4 linked regions of the Caenorhabditis elegans genome follow. The protein of the gene in region 2 interacts with the protein of the main gene of each other region in a pairwise test. Each region holds a gene or a part of one and is shown on either strand. Other genes may lie near its edges.

Region 1 (4,599 bases), 9.3 Mb from region 2:
AATTTTGTATTTCGGTCTTTCTATTTCTTCGTGTTTTGGAAAAATATTTTTTTAAATGGAATACGATAAACTATGAAATATAACTTGTAAAGTTTGTTTTCTCTTACACCACAATAGTTGAAAAATGGCTGTAAATTTTTCACATTTCTCCCCGGTTCTAAAAATTTTCCAATATTCTGGATTAATCCAGCATCCATTTAATCATCTTATCTTTCAAATCCTTATCAATCGATGGAATCTACAGTATCCTCGAATACTTGTCCGTTATCACCTTCTCTCGCATGCATGTTCATCTTTTCATTCGTTATTTCACACCTTTTGAGGTATACAGGAAGTGGGGGAATCAGTTAAAACATACATATGTCCACGTGTCGGCTAATTTAAGAGTGCAACTCTATAGAAACTGCAAATTCACTTTTCGTACAATTTTTTTGACTAAAAGAATGAAGAGTTTGCAATACTAACGAAGAAGTGCAATACTATTAGGGACGCAAGACTAATTGGGACTTCAAGTCTATATTTCAATCGATATGAACTCTAAGAGAGACTCAAAAATAAAATAAAATAAAACATATTTCTAGTTTCTAGATAGTTTTCAATAAGGAAAATATGGCGTCCACCAGCCAAAGGAAGAATGAGGGTCAGGTTGAATCCGGATAAGAAGATATTTCCAGGGATAATCTTGTTGAATTCTCATGTTTTCTGATTTCAATTTTTTTTCTCAATTTTTTAAAATATTCATCAATGAACATAATACTTTAAACCTCTGAGAGAACCAGTCAGTTTCTGATTTAAATATCAGAAAAATGATTGTGTTAAAGATCGAAGCAAACATACCACATTTTTTCAGTATTGCAGCCATTTTTTGGAAAAGTTACATGAATAATTTATAGACTCTGAAGATGTTCTACACTTTGTGAGTTTATTGTCTTAAACTGTAGTACGCGGAGATATTAGTATGGAAGCTAAAGGAAACTAGAAAAACATTTGAAAATGTACGAGAAAATTTGACTAAAATATAGGATGGATTTTGAACTCTAAAATCTAGGGTTATGAAATTTAAACGTCCTAAGCGATTTGTAATTTAATTTTGAAACTTTAATTGTGAAACTAAAGTGAGGTCAAATTTCTCACATTACTTTCCTTAATTCTTAATTTTTTCAGGAGCAGACAATTTTGTTCAAAAATTTCGAAATTTTCTAAATGTTTAAATATAATTTTTTGCTCATTACTTCAATCTTGATGAGTAATTTCATAGAATATATTTTGCCAGTAACATTTAACTGTCTCAAAAATTTTTTTGGCATTTGAAATGTCATTTTTTAAACTTTTTCATGATCCAAATAGTTCACACAAAACTGCTTTAATCCAATTAATTACAAATAAAAGAAATATAGGTTACCATATCCACAAAATCAGGATGTTCACACTCTTATTCTATCACTTGGGTGTTCACATCCGGCTGGTTTTCTTCTCACTTCTTTCGTTCTCCTCACTTAGTAGGTGGAGTCTACCAACCAGTCGCTCGTCGTCCGCCCGCTCAATGACTCCGCCCACTTTCTTGTCTCTCCGTGGGTCCCAGGGCTCTCGGTTCTCTTTTCGTTTGTGACACTTCCAACTGTCCTATCTGTGTTTGTGTGTATCTAGTAATCAATCACAAACTTCTATATCTGTTCAACGGCATGAACATCTGTATGCGAAATGGTTATGAGCAATTCTCACTGACATCTCCAGGAACATCGGATCTCGAAATTGGTGGATCATTTTGGAAAGACGAACCGGATACCAAGTACTTGTGCCTTGATTCTCCTGTTGAACGTGAGTGTTTTTTTTTTAATTTGAAAATGTTAAGCGTGGGCCAAAATATTTCAAAGAATTTACATCCGGAAAAAATTTTTTTGTAAATTTTCTGAAAATCACAGCTTAAAAAATTCAAAACAAAAGTTAAGTTAGATTCATAAAATTTCCATTTGAAAAGACATCTAACAGATCTAAGAATACAACACCTTCTCTCAAACTCCACTTAATCTTGAAAAATAAATCTTAAAATGTCAAAATCCCTGCAATAACAAAATCGAAAGAAGGAGAGGGAGAAAATCTGGAAAAAAAGATTATTCGCACTTCTAAGCCTTAAATATCCGTCTATTTTCCCCTGAATTTTGCAACTTTTTTATCTGAAGCTCTGGTGCTCTTCCGATTCTTTTCCCATACTACTTATAGGGATGAGCCAATGAATAAATGAGCAAAGTTCCGAAAGGTGTCTGAACTTAATGGGCTCACTTCCAAAAAATTTTGAAGTCATATAACATTACTAAATTTCTTGGTAGAAAAAACCCATTTGAGCTACACATTTTTCCATGACACCTTGCTTATTCACCAGTTTGGCAAACAAAAGAATCGGGGGGTCTCACACAAAAATATATTTTGTTGATTAAACGATATGATGGGGGTGGGGAACAAATGGGAGGCTCCATCAAAAAGCTCTTAGTTCAATCAAGTTCTGAAAGTTTAAAAGAAAACAAAAATCGCTATTTCTTTCATTCCATTTGTCCCCCTCCTCTTTTACTTTTTTCTTTTCCACCTTCTTCTTGTTGTCTTAAAAACGCATAACTTCATCTGGTCCTTCGATGAAGATCTAAGCTATAATCGCCTTATGCACATCACATGTACATATCCGGTTTGAAGATTTCAACAACCCAACCAGATTTTCTCGATTTTCTTGGCCTCGAAAACTTAACCTAGAAAGTTTTCAAATAAATATATGATATTAATAAAAATTAACTTTTCACAGTTTTGTATTCCGAAAGTTTTTAAAACCTAATTTTCTTCAAAAAAAGTTTTTCTCTAGGTCAATTTTCAATTCTAATTTCAAATCGCAACACTCTCCTCCCAAATAAGTAGTTATTTGCCGCCGCTCCGATTATGATTACTGTAGTGGTGGGGTGTTTATAATTGCTTATATTAAGTAAACTTTCCTTCTTTTTTTGGGATTGTTACTTCTTGTTTGTCAACGGCCAGTTTACTTCCTAAAATAAGATGTCAAATGTTGAACAAGGGGATTATCAATAGTTTGAAATGACTACCTTTAGTTGTTATAGTTTTAAAATTAGAACATTTTAATATGTTATTTTTTAAACAGTAGGAAGCTGTCGACTTTAAATTCTTCCGAATAAAAACGGAGCTCAATAAAATTAATGACGTGGCAAAACAGTGCTGACAGAAGAGGGCAAAAATAAAATAAAAAACGTTTTGGCAGCTACTAACATCCCCAAACACCCCACAAATGAGCTATTTTATGAGTTTTGTTAGGCTCTCCCTGCCTTTCTTCACTTTTTTCTTGAAGCCATGAACCCCTTCATGACACCTAACTGGGTATCATTATCCATTTGTGCGCGTGGCCCTCCCCTCTTTCTATTACTTTTCCCTAAATAAAGCTTGAGCTCCCCTCCTCTCACAAACCCTGTAATCTTCAAATCAAAGTCGACGGGTAATTTGGGTTAGAGTAAAGTTAATCGAGCTTTCATTTTTCAGAACGTCAGCACCAACCACCGATGGCAGTTTGTGCCGGCTGTCGATTGGGTAAGCTCTTTCGGGGACTAAATTCCAAAAAATTATTTATTTTCAGAAATATCAGATCGGTACTTCCTCAGGGTCAATCCCAATCTGGAATTTCACGCTCAATGTCTAAAAGTGAGTTTTTGAACATTTTTATAACTGAAAAATGGTTTATAAGTATCTCGTCTCACTTTGAAGGATTTTATCTCAGTTTGTTTTGAATATATCAAAAATAATAAAAATACACAACCTTTTCGATAGAACAAACAACAACCGAGATACTAATTGAGTGCAGTGTAGTCTCATGGTTTTTTTTCTAAACAACAATTTCGAAAATTACACGGGGGTGGATTTTCACAAGAAAACCTAATTCATTCCAAATGATCTCATTCAAAAATGTATTGCACAATGAGCCCCTCCAACTGTCTTAATACCTTAAAGCTACAAAAGTCCAGTAAAGAGAGAATTTACACGCATGACTTGACACATTGTTTGTTCTTTTATTCAACATTTTGATGTATGTTTCTATATGTATGTAGGATTTCCATTTTGCATATTATTCAGAATTCCAACCTTTTCCCCTTTTCTCTTTTCTGCTCCTTTTGAATTATTCACCAATTTGATACCTTTATTCCGGGTCATTGTACTTTTTGCTCTTGCCCCACGACTTTTAAGCAAAGGACAAAAAGTGAATATTATACAAAAAAGGGAAGGGGGAGGAGAAAGGGCAATGATGATGAAATGAAATGAGACAAAGACGGAAAAAAAGAAAAGAAAAAAATCAAAACGTGTTGACCAGGAAGCATAAAAAGGGGGAGAAGCACGGAAGAGACGGATCAAATTACTGCGCAAATTCGCGCATTTTGTTGATTTTTTGAGTGTGAAGATTGGTGTATACAACTCACTGGGACAGAGGGACCCTTGCGTGACCAGTCAAGGTGGCAACCATCTGTCGTGTTGGAATAGGCGATGAATACCTAAACAGTAGTAGAATAGATCACGCTATTCAGTTAACTATTTACCTGTTTACCGCATAGTAACCCA
Region 2 (5,431 bases):
AAGTAAAGCTCCTAATCCGAAATTGTGACATCGGATTTTGGCACAAACAAGACTTTTCTGCTACCGTACTCGTAGGTATTGTGTCAATATCTTCCGTTTTCGGTAAGTTTAGTGTTTTTTGTGTAGAAGAAAACTACAAGACACATATGATAGTTCACCGTGCGGAAAATGTAGCTTCAAAAATTCATTTGTGCCAAGTTCAAAAACATGCAAAAAAAAAAGTGCCACGTGGAAATCTTTTCAGATACTTCTCCCGGCAGCCGGTGCCAAACTACTCGAGGTTCTGATTGCCTCTCTTGCTAACTCACACAACAGAACCGGAGAGCTGTTTCTTGTCAGGTACGATTCGCTCAAGAATAGTATTTAACCTCTGGGATGTGAAAACTCTATAATGGTTGTTTTCATTTTCAGAAGTTTCGATTTCCTATTTGCCGGATGCATTCTCTTCTACTACTCGACGCGTCAAAATGGGAAGGGCTTGACTAAAACGGACTGTTGGATGATTGTAAGATGGCCTAAAATGTAGAAAAATCGGTCGTGGGTGTTTGGGAGTGGCTGAGTTTTCTTCTGCGGCGTAATGCTAGTTTATTGCAGGCTCCCCTTGCGATCGCAGTGTCAATAGCCTGGCTTGAACCTGGACAAATGGAATATACGGGAGTTTCTTTGATGTCCGCATTTCTGCTCCCAATTTCAAGAGCCCTCTCGTTCATTTTACTAAAAAACTCGATGGATTGTTTAGGAAAAGGTTTAAAAATATTTTTCTCTTTATCAAACTAAGAGTTTTCTAGGTCATATCAATGCTTTTATGCTGGAATACACTCGATTTGTTACTATTCTACTCTTCCTACCGGCTCTTGTTTCGTATTTATTGAGCAGTGTGGAGGTCACTGCAAGCTGGGAGTCTATCGATTATGTGAGTTCTGGGTGAAAGAGATTGTGAGGGAATTGCTAAATATCAAACCAGCATATGACACAATTAAACTTGTAATATTATAACTGTTCGGTAGTTACATTTCTGAAAGTTATGTTTGGACATCGAAAAGATAATCTTTTCGAAAGATTGCTTTTTGTCAGTGAACTATCTTTTATACAATAGAAATACATACAACATTTTTTGGTTGTTTCCAGGTGCTTATGTCTCTCTCCTTCATATTCATGATCTGCAATCTCTACAGTCATCTCTGGCTTACCTTATCCCTATCACCTAGTGTCTACTTGGTTTTAGAAAACTCCAGAAACCTATTGGCATCGGTAGTTATTTTGATTAAAATCCGAATTTTGTATGAATTTTGATTTTTACAGTGTGCTCAATGGATTATTCAAAATATGGCTCACCCGAGCCTAATTGCATTTGGCGGCAAAATTGTCGGGTTTGCAGCAATTTTCAGAATCTGGACAAGATCTTAATTAAATTGTTTTTGTTTTCGAAAAAGAGACCTGTTTGTCTAATAAGATGCGTTTCTCAAAAAAAAAAGTTCACCACAAGCACAATTGGGCTATTTTCAATTGAGACAATAAATTGGGGAAAAAAGCAACAAATTTAGGTCTGCTACGAATCAAAAGCTTGTCACGTAGAAATAATTTTAAATGTTCCAACCAGTTTTATTCTAAACACATCACCAGGTCTGGGTAATCATTTCAATGTAAAAATGCAAGTACGCTCTACCGAATCGATATTATTATACTCTTCTTGTAAACGCTAGAATATGTGCAAGGACAAATGATGGTATTTATTGACTAGAAATATCGCCTGGAGATATCTCATTTGAATAATTTTCTATTATCGATTTCTTTTCACACTTTTTTACTAAAATTTAGAGAAGTAAAGATTAGGAAACTACCACGTAGCTTTACTATATTGAAAAATTGCCATGTCATTTACATTTCAAGGACTTCATTGCAGATTCAAACACAAACTTGGGAATTGTCACCTGGCGACCCACTCCGAATTTCAATTTCAAACTATTCTCTGTAAATATTTGTTTTTCTCAAGATCTAATTCTACCGTAACCTACACTTACAGTAATCCATTTTCAGCTTAAACCTCTATTTCTCTCTCAAAAAATGTACACAGTTGCTCGTGAACAACCGCTTGCCGCTGTGCTCTCTCCACAATTCTCGGAATTGTACTGTGCCACGTGTTTTCTGGAAATCGACAGCTCACAAGAAACGGAAATTCTGACATGCGACGATTGTTTAGCGGTATCATATTGTACATTGAAATGTCAACGAAAAGATTGGAAAAGTTGTCATCAGGTACTGTTTGGGTGATACTTTGAAAAAAAACATTAAAATTGGAAAAAAAAATCCCTTGGGAAAATTTAGAAGAAATTTTCAAAAATCCACTTGGCAAAATTTCAAATAATTTAAGAAATTATAAAAATCCGATGCATATTTCCAATGTTTTGCAGTTCGAATGTGAAATCCTGCGTTGCCAAGGCTCCTCAACTCCAATGACACTGACCATGAAGCTATGCATCAGAGTCTTATTGGCATCTCGTTCCACACAGACGCCAAGTTTCAATGGGGCTGTTTTAGAAGATTTGGAGACAAGTAAGATATATTACCTGAAATAGGACTGATCTTGACACACATACCGATATTTTCAGATTACAAAGAATTTCGATCAAGTCCAGAGCATAATCAATTTTTATCAGATGTTTTAACGATTATCAGCAGTTCAGGGCAGAGTGAGTTGAAAAGTTTTAGTTATTTTTGTTTCACTGTAGTTTTTAGAGGAGCATATTAGTTTGCGTGGTCCCAATTTAAATACTTTCAGTAATAAAATTCACGACCACGTAAAAACTTTGCACCTTTTCTCTTGCAAATAGTTCGATTTTTGAGCCAAACTACTGACTTTGGGTTCTGACGCGAAGGAACAAGTTTTTCCAGCTATCGTAACCAAAAGTAGAGTGATGTAGCTGTAGCTAAAATAAGTCGTTTTTGGTAGAACCCTTTTTTTTTTAATTTTTGCCACTTTTTTCAGACATTTTCCCAACATCTTTGGAGACAAACAAAACTATCGGAATAATCTGTAGTGTTTTGTGCAATTCGTTCAGCATTATCAATGAGAAACGTGTTGAGCCGATTGGAAGTGGCCTATATGTGGGCGTTGCCAAGCATAATCATTCGTGTGCTTCCACGTCACATGTTGTCTTTGAAGGAAATCAAGTTTTTCTGAGAACCAATCAAGAGGAATATTCAAAGGAGGTTATGATTTTTATTGATGTATCTTTTCCAAATGGGATTTCAAAATCAAAAAGCAATTGCTCGGAACTTTTATCACCCCAGATTGAAATTTCCGGGTGAATTGCACCAATCAGGCCTGCCGGTGTTTCGGTTCTTTTTACAAACCTAAAACGACAAATTTTATTTTTTCGGTTTTTAGATTTTTCTGTTTTACTAAAAAAAACCAAAAATTGACAACAAAATGTTTGGCGGCACCCATGCAAAAAATTATTTCAACGGCATTACTAAACGCAATACTCTGCAGCTGACAATATCGTACGTTTCCCGAATGCTTCCAACATCCGAACGTCGGAAAACAATCCGCGGAGTCCATTTTCTGACGTGTCAGTGTGAAATGTGCAAAAATGAAGAACTGGATCTAATCGGGTTAAGCTCAAAATGTCGAACAAAAAATTGCACGGGATTTGTGAAGGGATCTGGAAACTGTTCAGTTTGTGAGAAATTAGCGTTTTTGCCCTTTGAACAGGTTAGTTATTAGGATCGACTGTCGATTAAACGTTTTTGGTTAACTGCCGAAAAGTTTTGGAAAATTGCCAAAAAGCCTTTGACAACCTGCCAAAAAGTTTTGGAAACATGCCAAAAAGTTTTGGAAAACTGTAAAAAAGTTTTGGTAAATTGCCAAAAAGCCTTTGACAACCTGCCAAAAAGTTGTGGAAACCTGCCAAAAGTTTTGGTAAGTTGCCAAAAGTTTTGGTAAATTGCCAAAAAGTTTTGGAAACCTGCCAAAAGATTTGGTAAGTTGCGAAAATGTTTTCGTTAGTTGCCAAAAGTTTTGGTAAATGGCAAAAAAATTTCGAAAACGACAAAAAGTTTTGGTAAAATCCCAAAAACTTTTGGGTACCAGTTATGGTAAATTGAGTACTCCTTTTTTTTGAAAAACATGAATTTTTTCAAATTGCAGAGCATCCATTCAACATTAAATCTTTTGGATATTATTGAAAATCTCCATAAAACAAATCAATTCACAACAGTACAAGAATTGGCTTACCTTCAAAAACTACGTGCTGACTATCAAGACATCCTGGCGGAATGCAACGTGGCAATTTTGCAACTCGACGAGCAGATTGCTTATTGTAGCAGTTCACTGGAAAATGTGAATGACTTGGATTTGGACTTGATCGCTGGAAGAGGCAGTGAGCATTTTATGTAAGTTTATCTTAATATCCTAGCTCAGTTGATGTAGAAAAAGTATACGTAAATAACATTTAAGACGAATCTGATTCTAGTTTTCTGAAGAATTTTTTTTTCTAAAATCATGAAAATACGAACATTTTCCACAAAATTGAAACATTTTATTTCTGGAAAAAACCGAAATATTGAAAGATCTAATTTTTGAGTTTCTAGAAAATTTATAATTTCCGGAAACGGGAATAGATGAATTTAAAGCATTACTTAATATATTTTCAGAACTCGTCTTGGGATCGGCGCTCCAGAAGTGACCCGTCGTTTGTATATTGGATGTAAATGTATATCTCGTATTTCACCATCGAAAAGATCTGTAAAATTAGTAAAACTAATCAAACTTGCCATCGAATCAAGCATTATTAGCCATGGAACACATCATTCAATCACTAATTATTTGAGAAATCTTTGATAATGTTCTTGTAAAATCACATTTATTTTTAATCCTCTGATAAATAGTTTAATTTAATTAACATAAGCATACAATATATATATCACAATTCAAATAGTTCCATAAGAAATCAGCTGACTAGAATCAAAGAAAATGGCTCGAACGGGCGGCACGATTTGTGCGTTCCGCTGTTGATCGGTTCCTTCGACAAACAATTGTGATCCTTTGATGAGCCCGTTGTTCGCTGTGTCAATTAACTCGTTTATCATTCCAACCACTTGTTTGTTCGAGTTTTGGATGTTCGAGCGGCTGGAAATAAAACTAATTTACGAAAAAAATTAGGGCACGCACATTTTATTTTAAGTTCTCTAAAATATCTTGCCACGTGGACGGCTATAAAAAGTTTTGCACATGAACTTCCAGGTTCTTTAAGTGGTTTTTTGTATTACGAATATCGTATATTCTTTATCAGTGCTGCATACAGTGGAATTTATTGGATGCAGATGCCGCACTAATAGAAAATATACGGTAAATTCCCAATGCTCTGGTAAAACAAGTCCGTTTTGTTGCCGGAGAAAGTGTCACGTAATCGAAAATAGTTATTTTGTT
Region 3 (7,785 bases), on a different chromosome or scaffold from region 2:
TTCACATTTTACATGTCTACAATGTATTTTGAGAGATTACAGCTCAAGTCAATGTTTTGTCAAACCTTAAAAATTGGGTCTCGACTCTAAAATCTGCGACTTCTGGAAAAATTTAAATTTTTCAGAAACATGATTTACAAATAGACAATTTGAAACATTTTTTGTCATTTTTTGAAGAGGCATTGTCCGAATTCTAAGCCATGATCTTATCTCTTTTCAGTGAAACAGAAAAATATTTTCATTTTGCGTTTTTTTTTAATTCGTATTTTTAATAGGCTGGCGGTTATTTTTCAAAGTAAAATAAGAATTATAAACCGTTGCGAGACCTTGTTTTTTTTTCAAAAAAAAACTGAGTGATTCACTAATATTTTTGAATATTAGACTTTGAAAAATGAACAACTTGAAACATGCTTTGGCATTTTTCCAAAATAAATTGCTTTAAATTCATCAGGCTTTCTAAGTAGGCGCTAAGGCCTTGTTGAAGCTGTAGGTAGGCAAGTCGTTCTGCCTACATTGCTGCCTACCATTGTTTCAACTAAGCCGAAAATTTAAATGTAAGTGTTATTATTTCAATTAATTTAATGGCAAAGAAATGAAACACATTCTTCCCCTGGTAGAAGGCACACGTCAGGCGTAGCTTGCCTATAGTCAAACAGTAATTTTCGGCCCAACATAGCAGCCCTTACATCGATTGTATCTAATATTTTCAAACTTTCGACCAGATGTGAGATGTTTACTGATGTTAGAAATTAACCGATAATTTATCAACAACCTGAAACAGCATAATTTTTTTTTAATTCACTAATTTCAAAATTTGACTTTCTTGAAGAATTACACCGTAGGCAGACAGGCTAACTTTTTTGCCTTAGAATTTTTATAAAAACGATTAGTTTTTTGAGTTACTCCGTGCAGTTTTCACAATTTCCGGATTTTATTTTAGTAAAAATTCCACCCAGTTTCAGTTAGTTATTATTCACGAGCGCATGTTTCTGCATTCATTCTATTTTCACACCGTTATTATCCAATTTTAAAAAGTGTCATTTGTAACCCACTTTTGCCTATAACGAGAAAATTCAAAAAATTACAGTTGGAGTAAAAACGGAAAATAGGCGGTAGGCAAGTAGGTAGGCAGGCAGGAGGTGTCCAGTTATAGAAAGTGTTCATGTTAACATTTCATGTACTTTCATGATGTTTACTAATTGGATCCAAAAAATATTTTTAAAAAATATATCAGAAAAATGGGACTGATGTTTTTAATAATTATTCAATGAAACAGTAGAAAAATGAAATATTTGGAAATGAAACTTTTTGTTCAAAACTGCTGTGCTGACAGTTCTTATAATAAATTATTAAAAATCACAGTATCGAGATGGTGATGAGACCTAAAAAGTACGGAGAAAAGTGTATTTAACAATTATACAATTGATGCCATTTTCAATATCGTTCAATGAAAAAAACCATATAAAATTATTTAGTGAAACAATAGAAAAAAAAAAAATTTTTTTAAATTCCTGTATTTTATTTAAATTGGCAATTTTAACTTTCATTTGAATATTTTTGTAAAATGATCACAGTTTCAAAAGATTTAGATCAAATTATAATGATGCATTTGTTGTAATAAGTATTTCGGAATTGCAACATTAACAAAAGAAGGGACAACTTTTATAATTCTTAAGTGAAACAGTTGAAGTTTTTTTTCAAATTTTTGTTAATTTTGTTCAAAATAACTGCTGACATAATTTATATCCACGTTCAGAAATATTATCAAAAGTGCTTCAGCCTGAACGGTGAAATCATAAATCACATAATTTCCAGCCGGGCCGCAGAAAATAGGTGGTAGGTAGGTAAGCACAAGGCAAGAAGGTGTATTTCTTAGTACTGATGTGAATGTGAAAAATGTGAACATTATTTATATATATTTTTCAGGGTGATTCACAAAGATTAGAAATATCAAACGATTGCAATTGAAGCTATTTATGATTATTCAATGAAACAGTAGAAAATTTGAACTTTTTCTCAAATTTTTCCAATTTCTTAACCACATAAAAAATATTTGTTTTGTTTAAATGTGCCAGTTTTCATAGCAAAATTTTGAAATTCAAAGGTTTCAAAACGTGGTAAGACCCGAAAATTGTTGTTATGAAAGAGAATGCAATAAGAATGCAATAACTTCAAACCAAATGATAAAAGTATTTAGTGAAACAGTATAATTTTTTTTCATTTTTTCAATTTTCTTCACACTTATTTTTTACTGTAACTGAACAAACTTAACATCTTGTTAAGTTTTCACTCCTAAAATTAACTTTTATTTACCCTTTTTTTTTATTTGGCACTTCTGACTTTAATTTTAACATTTTTTGTTTAAATTGATCACTGATTGAAAAGAGTTTAATCAAATTATAATAATTAGAAAAGATGAAGGAGTATTTTCTTAACATTAAAAAAAGAAGGAACAACTTATATAATTCTTAAGTGAAACAGTTGAAGTTTTTTTTTTTTTGGACGGTGAGAACATAGATCACATAATTTCCCGCCAGGGCGCAGAAAATAGGCGGTAGGCAGGTACGTAGGCAGGTACGATACTTACGTCCCAGTAATCGCGTGAAAATTCAATTCACTTTCGTGGTTACAGAAATATCAAACTATTGCAATTGAGGCTATTTATGATTCTTCAATGAAAAAGTAGTATTTTTGAACTTTTTATTTTTTGTCCAATTTCTTAACCACATAAAATATTTAGTGAAACAGTATAATTTTTTTCATTTTTCCAATTTTTTTTAAACATTTCCATTTTTGACCGTAACTAAGCATACTTAACAACATGGTAAACTTTTCGCGTCTAAAACTAACCGAATATCCTTCAATTGTGGACATGAAGCAATACGACTTGCCAGTGACAATTGATCCAAATCCTTAATAGTAAAAGGTGCCAAATGAAATGGAATCTTTTGTCCATCAGCCTCTTCACAAACAAAACCAATCGATACAGCACCAGTTTGACTGTCAGAGAATCTCAATAAAAATGAAGAGTGCTGACACATCATCATACTTTGAGACGCATCATTTTTTGAAATAAATCCAATGCACCATCCCTCATCCCAGAATTTGAGCAGTTTTTGTTTGATTAATTGCATTATTGAGAAAAACCATTCCCAAAATGAGAATGGTAAGTCATCTCTCATTGCCTGTTTTGCGAATCGATGAAATGTGATTGGCTTCTGATCTGCCACATTTGGCATTAACATTTTCTCACTTAAATATGCCAAATCTGAATCTGAAAGTGGACGACGTGCTCCCGTGAATAAGGAGAACTTGTTTCGAAGCATTATTGCTAGATTGTCCCATGTCACAGCTGTCACATCAGTTGTATTTGGATTTCTGCTGATTGAGGCGAATGCGCGGTGCCAGAGAATTGCAACTTGCGCGTCACAGTCTTGAGATCCGTGTACTGTAACCATTATTGGAAGAGAAAGTGTCCAAACGTCGAATTGTTCTTCCTGTTAAATTTTAATTGATAGAAATTGGAGGACATATTAAATTTTGAAAATTAAGAGTAGCTGAAACAGTGAAAATTCTCAAGTTTCTTTACACTTTTTTGAATATAGAATTACTGCTTTTACTAATCCAGTTAGAAAATTTCAGTAATTCAAAGTGAAAACCGAAAGAAATGTTGGAAATGTTTGGTTCAACCATTGTTCGTTTATCAGACTCAAATTTTGAAATAAATTTTAAACTTTTTGTTGAAACAGTGAAAAAATAAAAAATAAATGTTTTGCTGTTTCACGTTGTTTTTAAAAGATTTTGCATTTGAGTTTGAGTTACTGACTACGTTCAAAAAAAATCAAGTCATAATTGAAATATCAACAACTTACTTTGCTCAAATTACCCATTTGAAAAGGTGTAATAAAGAATAAAAGAGCATATTTCTGATCAGTAGCTGCCTGCATACTTGCTGCACATTTCAAGTCAGATGCTCCTTTTGGGGGCGGTTTTCTGTGTGCAATTCTTGTCAATTTTGAATTATTGAATTTTGCCGCCAAGTGTCCTCTTTCATTCATTGTGAGCTTCTCGAAATCATTGGAAATTGTGCCAACTGTCTTGTTGTTACGGCTGAAAAATATTAGTGTTGAATATAGTGATACAACTACAAATTAACCACAAAAAATAAGAAAAGTATATAAAAATAATACGAAAAAGTATAAGTTTTAGAAAAAAAAATTTTCTCAATTTTTCAAAAATTTACTGTTTCAAATTTTTCATTAAAAAAAACTCACATTTCCTTATGTGCATCATAGTCAACACTCAACTGCTTGGCTTCATCTTCTGCTATAATTTTCACTGAAACATTTGTGTTCACCAGGTGTTGACGAATTCCCAGCTTATCGCCAATGAGAAGACGGACCTGGAAATTTTAGTTTTTTTTTGTAATTTTATTGAAAAATCAGGATTCTGAAATTGCTGCGTCCCACAGCGGAAACTACAGTAACCCGTAAAATTAGGTGGGGTGGAACTGTAGTTTTTGTGGTGGGACCCAGAAATTTTCAAGCTGAACAAATGCGTGGCACACATTATATTCGAATTGAACTTCTTAAATAAAATTGTTGAGTATGACTTACATATTTATTTGAATGACTTTTGAAACGGTAAAGTTTTAATTAAAATTTTTGAATTTTTTTTTATTGTTTCTTATAATTTGCTTGAATTCTAACTAAGTTGGGTCTCGTCACGACGGTGTGGTTTTCGCGGCGGGACCCACCAAAATTTGACATGTATAATTTCCATTAAAAAACAAACCTCAGTGACAAATTTATGTTGAGTCTTCAAAACAGGTTCCGGTTGAACGGAAACAATAAAACTCTGTGAAACCAGCATAAAAAGTAATTTGTTCAATTGTTCTGTAATTGCAGTCAACTTTCCAATTGTTGCCTGAGCGAGCCCATCATTTAACTGTGGAGCACGTCGGAGCAAGTCGAGCATCCAACACGAGAACATGTTAAGCTGCCAGTTTTGATCAGCGAGAAATTCGAATTCAATTTGAATTTCATCAAGCAGCTGTTCGCGATTATCGAAAGGCATTCCGATTTGGGCAAGTTTTTGGGCATTTTTCCAGGAGAACAGCTTTTCGCCAATTAGTTGGGTCTGGAAATGAAGATTGATTAAAATATTGCAACGCATAGAAAATTTGATTAAACTGTGAAACAGTATTTTTTTAAAAATATTTCTCTTTAAAAAAAATTGTCAAATTTTATGCAAAATCAATGTAAAAGGAAAAAAAAGATTAAATTTGATAAAAGTGTGAAACTGTAAATATTATAACTAACTTTTTTTCAGATAAGAGAGCTAGATTGCAGGCCAGTTTTAAAGTATGACATTTTCGCGCGTTCAATATATGAAATGCATGGGAAACATTAAATTTTTAATTAATTTTTGTATTTCAGTTCATTTTTGATGTAATTTCATATTAAAAGATTTCTTAATGCTTTTTTTAAACAAAACATTCACTTGAAACATTAAAAGAATAAAAATATTTTTAGCATGAATTTACTGAACATGCAAAATTCTTCAAAATTTGAAGGATTTTTCAAAAAAGTAAATCTTGTATTAGAGTTTTTTAATGGAAATGGTCTTCGACAGTCAAGTAAAGTAAAAAATTTTAATTCATATTTCACAAAACTTTGAAACAGTAAAATTTTTTTTATGTTTTTTTCATATTTTTTCACATTAGAAGAACCAACCTGTAGCATCGTCGCAAAATTGGTGCCATCATTAAGTTTAATGACAATATCATTTCTTTTCTGTGTCAAATGCTCATAAAGTGTGGCTGCTCTTTTCTGTAACTCTGTCATTTGCTGTTTCACAGTGAATACATTTTCTAGTCTCTGTTGCTGTTCCAGCTGTGCAATGACCATTTGCAGACGTTGAAGCTCGCCGAGTTCATTCACAAATCTGCCTTGGAGGTCCTTATTCTCTTCCCACAAGTGATGGCAGGTCTTTGAGACGTCGGTTAGAGCTGTTTGAAGCTCTTGCGACGATGAGCCCATCATGTCTGGAAATTTCAGATTTTTAATGAAGGGAATGGGAAGACAAGGAGGTAATAAAAAGGAAACGTTTTCAAAGAAAAATTTGTGAAAAAAAATTGGTTAAAAATTTTTTTACAGTTTCAAGAATTTTATTTCATTTTCAGTGTATTTTCAGAATCGACGTATACTTTAAAAAATTTTTTACTGTTTCAAATAAGTGATTAAATTTTGAAAGATTTTGTTAATTTCAATTTGATTTTTCACTGTTTCTGAAAACTTTCAATGTAGCATATTCGCTTGACAAAACATATTCATTTTCATCAATAATTATGAAAAAAAAAAAGAAAATATGTACGTGCAATGCAAGAAAAAATTGCGAAAACTTTCAATTTGTGCGAGTTGTTGAAAGAGCCGTGGCTCTGCACAAGAACTCGAAGGAAAAAACTAATGAGAAGTTGTTGGCTCAAAAAAGCGGAAAATGGGCAAGAGATGCAGAGAGCAGAAACACTTGGAAATGTATAAGAGCTCCAGGAGCACACACACACACGGGAGAGAGTATCAAAGAGAGCACAGAGACGCAGACAGTGTTACACACCGCTAGACGCAGAGACTTGTGTGTTTTCACACCACTTTTCCCCTGTCTCAGCTGATATCTGTGATGATTGGGGGGACGGAAAAAAATGGAGATATTATTGAGGGATTAGAGAAAAATATGTTTTTTTTTTCAAAAAAAAAATCGTTCAAATTAATTTTGAAACAGTAGTGGTTTTTTCAAGTTATTATAAAATGAGCTGAACATGAACATTTAAGGTTCTACTTGTATTACCCAACCGTGAAATTTTGCGCGAAAATTACTGTATCGGGTCTCGACGCGACAAATTACTGTTCAAATGTTCTAAAAATGTTCGAAAGTATGTATGTTTTTGTGGTTTTTATTCAAATATTTTTTATTGGAAAACAATTTGAAAAATCTGGAAAATTTTCAAATTTTGGGTGAACGACGATTTGACGGAAATTTTGGAAAATTTTAACATTTTTCCACTGTTTCAAGTTGTCTTTAAAAATACCAACATTTTATTTATACGTTGCTAGATTTATTCCAGTTTTTTATTCTGAGTGTATGAAGTTCTATTATTATTTCTCACTACTGTTCTAGCATTTTGAGGATTATAAAATGTGGTGTTGAAACCGAAAATTTAGTTTTTTTTAATTTTTTTTCGGCCAAGCTGAAATAATTTTGCGTGTTTTAAAATTGGCTTAGAGTCTGGAAATTTTATAACAATCTGACAAGTAATCTGAATATACCGGGAAAAAGAAATTGAAAAAAAAATTATACTGGGGCTATTTCTATATGGAACCTTAAAGATTTCAAACTTGAGAAGAAAACAATACTGTTTCAGATTACTGATATTGTCTGAATGTATAAAATGGGGTAATACAGTGTTGAAAATGAAGGTAGTATAATATTTTAGAAAACATATATATTGTTTCAGATTGCTTACATATGAATCGAATAATGTTTCTCAATATTTAAATTTTTTTCAAGTTTAATGCTGCTATTGTCGGAAAGCAAAAATTGTCAAACATTACTTCGAAGTTCGATTTCACTAGTTAGTGAGCTGAAGTTTCGTTTTTTGTTCAAACTAGGTAATTAATAGAGCTTATAAGACTTACAAGTTCAAATTTTTAGAAAAAATGTATCTTGTTTCAGATAAGTCAAGTATCAATGGCAATTTTTAATTGAAATAACACAAAAGGCACAGCA
Region 4 (4,282 bases), on a different chromosome or scaffold from region 2:
AAGACCAACATAGACGGATGAGCTGGGTGCATTCTTTTCGGTGGATTCCGGTGCAAGGTTTCCGACAATCTCCTTTGGTTGTTGCTCAGTTGGCTGTTCATGCTTCTCATCTGACGCTGGAACCTTTACAGACTCGGGAGCAATGTCAGCAGACTTTTGAGCATCCCATGATTCAGGAGCAGTCTTGGATGGATCGATTTTCTCGCGTTCCGAAGTTGGAGCCGAGTTTGTGGGACGCGAAAAAGCCAAATAATTCCAAAAATCAGACTGAAACAAAACGGAAATTCGATGTTAAATCCTCCTAGTATTCTTACAATTTTATCTCTGAAATTCCAAACAACAATCGCAATTCCAACAGCAGCAACTGTCACAATCGCTTCTTTTCGAAAACTTCTCCTCGGAACTGCTGGTGTGATTGCTCGCGACATTTCGATTTGATTAAATTGTGAAATAATTGAAATATTTGGTTTTTCCTGACTTATTATTGTTGGATGTACGTGAAAAACTGAATTTAATTTATTTTTATTCGAAAAAAAAATTATTTATATTTAAGACTAATCAAAAAGTGGTTGCCCGTTGATTTCAATCACCCCTTCATCGCCTTCGACATTTTCGATTATTTGATGATCCACATCTTCGACATGTTCTTCTTCTAGAGTATCATCTTCGTTCACTAAGATCATTTGCTGAAATTTACGAATTTTATAAAAAACAATTTTCAAAATTCCACTCACCACATTACCCATATTATCCCAGTCATTTCCTAGATCCATTTGAAACTGATCATATTCATTTTCAGCAACTTCTCCTTCAATTTCAGCATTTTCCAATGCCATCATCTCATCGCCCTCTTCAATTATCTGCTCCTCGCCTTCATGATTTATTTCAAATTGAGGAACGAGGTGATGATGATCGATAGTTCCATCTGGTTGTTGTAATGGGACCAATTGAATTTTCGTTCCATTCTCATCGTAAATATAATAAGTTTCTCTGAGATCATATCCTTCTGGTAAGAGAACTTGAATATTTCCATGCTCATCATGAATCATTTGTGGGAAGTTGTGTTGTTCTGCTGCTTCATTTGCATCCTCATCTGGAATCATTGCTTGGGATGTAGATGGAATATCATTCGGATCTTCGGAGCTTTCAACAACGACTTCTTCATGTTGAGTTGGAATATGAAGACGTCGATGTTCGATGAACTCCGGACGATTGTCGAATTTAGAATCACAGCACGTCCAAAAGATCTCACCATTTGATACTTCTAATCTGCAAAAATATTTTTTCTAGATATTTTTCTTGTTTAAAACAAATAATTACTCAAAGGTAGGGAGACCTCCTGTCTCAACCATACAAGAAAACGAAGATTTCATATGAACTCGTTCCATGTGCTTGAACAAAAGACGAGGTCGATTCAACTTTAGTCCGCATTCTGGACATGTAACTCGTCCGGCAGTGTCTCCATCAGAAATCTCTCCAAGAATTGGCAGTCGAATTGACATTTCATCAGCCATTTCAAAATTTGTTCGTCGCCGCAATCGTTTTTGTTCTTCATCATATTGGTAAAATGTTCGACGTGATTTCAGGTATTCTGGTACATTTGCCCATGCTGTCTGAAAATGAAAAAATTAATCGAAAATGTTGAATTTAAATCTAACTTACATAATTATGAACATCGTTTTTATGGAGATTCAACTCTGACATACTGTGAGAGATATGACCGCAGAACTTGCAAATATATTTTTTTCGTCGGGTGTGATGCGATGTAACGTGGGCTCTTAGCTTCCCATCATCAGGAAATACTAATGAGCATAATTCACACGTCAGATTCTGAACCTCGTGAGCTCCTAATCGATCAATAAGCTGTAATCGAAGCTCGTCATTCTTTTTGTGTGCTCTTTGATGAGATTCCATGGCTGTTGGATGTGCTATGTTGACGAGCATATTACAGATTGTACAAGCTTCATATTGTTCTCCTCCTACAGTCGGCTGATCTTAAAATGTACATTTTATTATATATTTATTTATTTTTTTCTAATTTTACTTACTTCCAGCAAGAACAGCTTTTACAAGTTGATGTGCTCTTGCTTCGTGTCTCATTTTATCCATTGTTAGTCGATCGCGAGATCGGAGCCGTTCGAACTGAAATCTTTATTTTGTTTTAAAAAAAGTTACAATTTTCTAAATTTAAAATACCTCTCTTTTCTTCCATTCTCCACAAATTGTATTAATATCTAGCATGATATCGTCTAAATTCTGCAGGTGACACTCTCTTCCATGCTTTTCAAGTCCTGATGCAGTCAAAAAAATTTTCTCCTCACAAAATCGGCATGGATAAGATTCGACATCGTTAGCGATTCCTGGCAATTTCTTCGGTTTGAAGTTGGATGGGTGATTCTGAATATTAATAATTTTTCCTACAATAATTTAATACTTAAATTAAATAACAAATCTACCTCATTTACAGTCAATACTCCTGATTGTACTTCATATCCTTCTCGTTTAACTTTTTCACCTTCGTCGTCTCGAACATCTATAATGATTTGAATTATGACTTCTGCGACTAAAAACAATATTTTTATACCTTTCCGCGTATGTTTAAGCGCTACATTTTTTCGTATGATTCTTGGCGGTTTTCGTGGTCCTCCACCTATAATTGCAGCCATCTAAAAACAAAAAAGTTTACTAAATTGTAGAAAGTTAGAGGAATTAAAACTAAAAAATACATGGCAAAACCGATAAAAATTCAATAAATAAAATTTAATGTAAGTGCGCTCCATTGGATGCAAGCGAGAGAACGGAGACGCAGCGTTGGAGTCGACTTTGTGGGAAGGGCCACTAGACGAGTAAATTGGACCAAAAAGTATTAAAAATAATCGTATATTTTTTGTTCGGTAAGCAAAACTGTACGTACTCTTCATGTCTTCAGCTCTGAATTCCAATTTTGATGTAAATTATGAAAATAACAACAAATCCAAGACAATTGCGAGATCTACAGTACTCCTTTAAATCTAGTTGGTCGTTTCGAGACCGGGTACCGTATTTTTTCGTAAATTGCCAGGTAATTAGTGAAGAACGGAAATTTAAATTAATTTTTTTTATTAATTAAAGTTTACATTGTAATAGTCATTTTGTTAGATATGAACTGTTCTCAATTCTTCATTATTACACTAGTGTCTCAAATATGCTGACTATAAAAAAGAGCATTCTCAAATCACGTAAGACCAACAGAATCACACCTTAATATTAGCAAGGATGATAAATGTGGCAAGACGCGTCTCTAGTTTCCTCGATTTTCTCCCAATTCCAAGCAATTGTCATCATTTTGGCAACCTTTCTCGTACATTTTTAATGCCGCCTTACTTCGAAAAAAAAACACGATGAGAATGACAAACAAATTGAATGAAGGAGACAGTATAAAAGAGAATGTTTGAATTGGTCTTTCATCATTCGACTCCAAACACACTATGGTCCACTATAAACTTTCATATTTTCCAATTCGATTTGCTGGAGAAATTCCACGACAGATTCTGGCATATGCCGGGCAAAAGTTTGAGGATCACCGGATTCCACAGGCTGATTGGCCAGCTCTCAAGTCGAGTGAGTTTTTGAAACTTTTTTTTTCAAAATACTATTTATTCGTGATTAAAATGTTGTGCCGCTCTAACCGCTGTGGGCGTGGCGAGATCCACTTGATAAAATCTTGATTAGACCTGACACCAATATTCTGGGTCTTATTATAAATCATTGATTTTTGTTCACAAAAACTGACCTGAAAGCAATCTCAGAACTACCTTTTTTGGTTCAAAGTTCCCGTATAAATCTAACTTTTTTGTAGGGACCTATTTAGAAGGTGCTCTTTGAAATGAAATATGTATAGTTCCAAAATCGAGATATATGTTAAAGTATCTTCCATGTAATAGAATAACAAATACGATCACTTTTAATTGCGAGGCTGGCGGGATATTTGTGTACAGGTTTTTCTAATTTAATTTTTTTATGTCTAAAAATGTTGTATTGAATTTTCTATATTTCCAGCTATGCCGTTCGGAACTCTTCCTGTCCTTTATCAGGATGGGAAACCACTTGGACAATCCCATGCAATTTCTCGTTTTCTTGCTCGCCAATTTGGAATAAATGGAAGATGTCCATGGGAAGAAGCTCAAGTGAATGCAATTGCAGATCAATTCAAAGATTATCTCAATGACATCCGATCTTATAATCTCGTGAAAATGGGATTTGCACAAGGAGATGCCGATGCTCTTTACAAGGACACATTCCT

Evidence for each region.
Region 1: the proteins of set-10 (region 2) and lim-7 interact in a two-hybrid assay, tested with the Caenorhabditis elegans proteins (one large-scale study listed by BioGRID).
Region 3: the proteins of set-10 (region 2) and sta-1 interact in a two-hybrid assay, tested with the Caenorhabditis elegans proteins (one large-scale study listed by BioGRID).
Region 4: the proteins of set-10 (region 2) and ZK546.5 interact in a two-hybrid assay, tested with the Caenorhabditis elegans proteins (one large-scale study listed by BioGRID).

The regions. Positions count from the first base shown.
Region 1 is NC_003279.8:5,714,994-5,719,592, forward strand, and holds the start of lim-7 (LIM/homeobox protein lim-7), read left to right. Parts: upstream 1-1,580; 5' UTR 1,581-1,682; coding exon 1,683-1,818; intron 1,819-3,531; coding exon 3,532-3,579; intron 3,580-3,625; coding exon 3,626-3,690; intron 3,691-4,379; exon of another isoform or gene 4,380-4,529; intron 4,530-4,599. UniProt on the Caenorhabditis elegans protein: Probable DNA-binding transcriptional activator.
Region 2 is NC_003279.8:15,027,184-15,032,614, reverse strand, and holds set-10 (MYND-type domain-containing protein), read left to right. Parts: upstream 1-1,906; 5' UTR 1,907-1,971; intron 1,972-2,037; 5' UTR 2,038-2,064; coding exon 2,065-2,256; intron 2,257-2,411; coding exon 2,412-2,553; intron 2,554-2,609; coding exon 2,610-2,690; intron 2,691-2,986; coding exon 2,987-3,210; intron 3,211-3,493; coding exon 3,494-3,715; intron 3,716-4,150; coding exon 4,151-4,395; intron 4,396-4,656; coding exon 4,657-4,843; 3' UTR 4,844-4,898; downstream 4,899-5,431. Other genes in the region: F33H2.8 (TPT domain-containing protein), read left to right, coding at 245-339, 412-505, 595-745, 789-913, 1,129-1,251, 1,303-1,407; F33H2.2 (Protein FAM91A1), read right to left, coding at 4,933-5,131.
Region 3 is NC_003282.8:16,662,581-16,670,365, reverse strand, and holds the start of sta-1 (Signal transducer and activator of transcription 1), read right to left. Parts: upstream 6,047-7,785; 5' UTR 6,045-6,046; coding exon 5,736-6,044; intron 5,640-5,735; exon of another isoform or gene 5,619-5,639; intron 5,364-5,618; exon of another isoform or gene 5,343-5,363; intron 5,260-5,342; exon of another isoform or gene 5,239-5,259; intron 5,157-5,238; exon of another isoform or gene 5,140-5,156; coding exon 4,795-5,139; intron 4,782-4,794; exon of another isoform or gene 4,761-4,781; intron 4,599-4,760; exon of another isoform or gene 4,578-4,598; intron 4,403-4,577; coding exon 4,275-4,402; intron 4,152-4,274; exon of another isoform or gene 4,131-4,151; intron 4,111-4,130; coding exon 3,873-4,110; intron 3,845-3,872; exon of another isoform or gene 3,824-3,844; intron 3,705-3,823; exon of another isoform or gene 3,684-3,704; intron 3,498-3,683; coding exon 2,851-3,497; coding exon of another isoform or gene 2,814-2,850; intron 2,704-2,813; exon of another isoform or gene 2,683-2,703; intron 2,638-2,682; exon of another isoform or gene 2,617-2,637; intron 2,436-2,616; exon of another isoform or gene 2,415-2,435; intron 2,378-2,414; exon of another isoform or gene 2,357-2,377; intron 2,162-2,356; exon of another isoform or gene 2,140-2,161; intron 1,952-2,139; and 15 more. UniProt on the Caenorhabditis elegans protein: Carries out a dual function: signal transduction and activation of transcription. Activated STAT proteins play a role in repression of dauer formation.
Region 4 is NC_003280.10:4,934,202-4,938,483, reverse strand, and holds ZK546.5 (C2H2-type domain-containing protein), read right to left. Parts: upstream 2,667-4,282; coding exon 2,585-2,666; intron 2,534-2,584; coding exon 2,457-2,533; intron 2,398-2,456; coding exon 2,197-2,397; intron 2,143-2,196; coding exon 2,049-2,142; intron 1,995-2,048; coding exon 1,663-1,994; intron 1,614-1,662; coding exon 1,321-1,613; intron 1,270-1,320; coding exon 735-1,269; intron 687-734; coding exon 555-686; 3' UTR 510-554; downstream 1-509. Other genes in the region: ZK546.4 (Energy transducer TonB), read right to left, coding at 1-267, 315-428; gst-30 (glutathione transferase), read left to right, coding at 3,468-3,600, 4,039-4,282.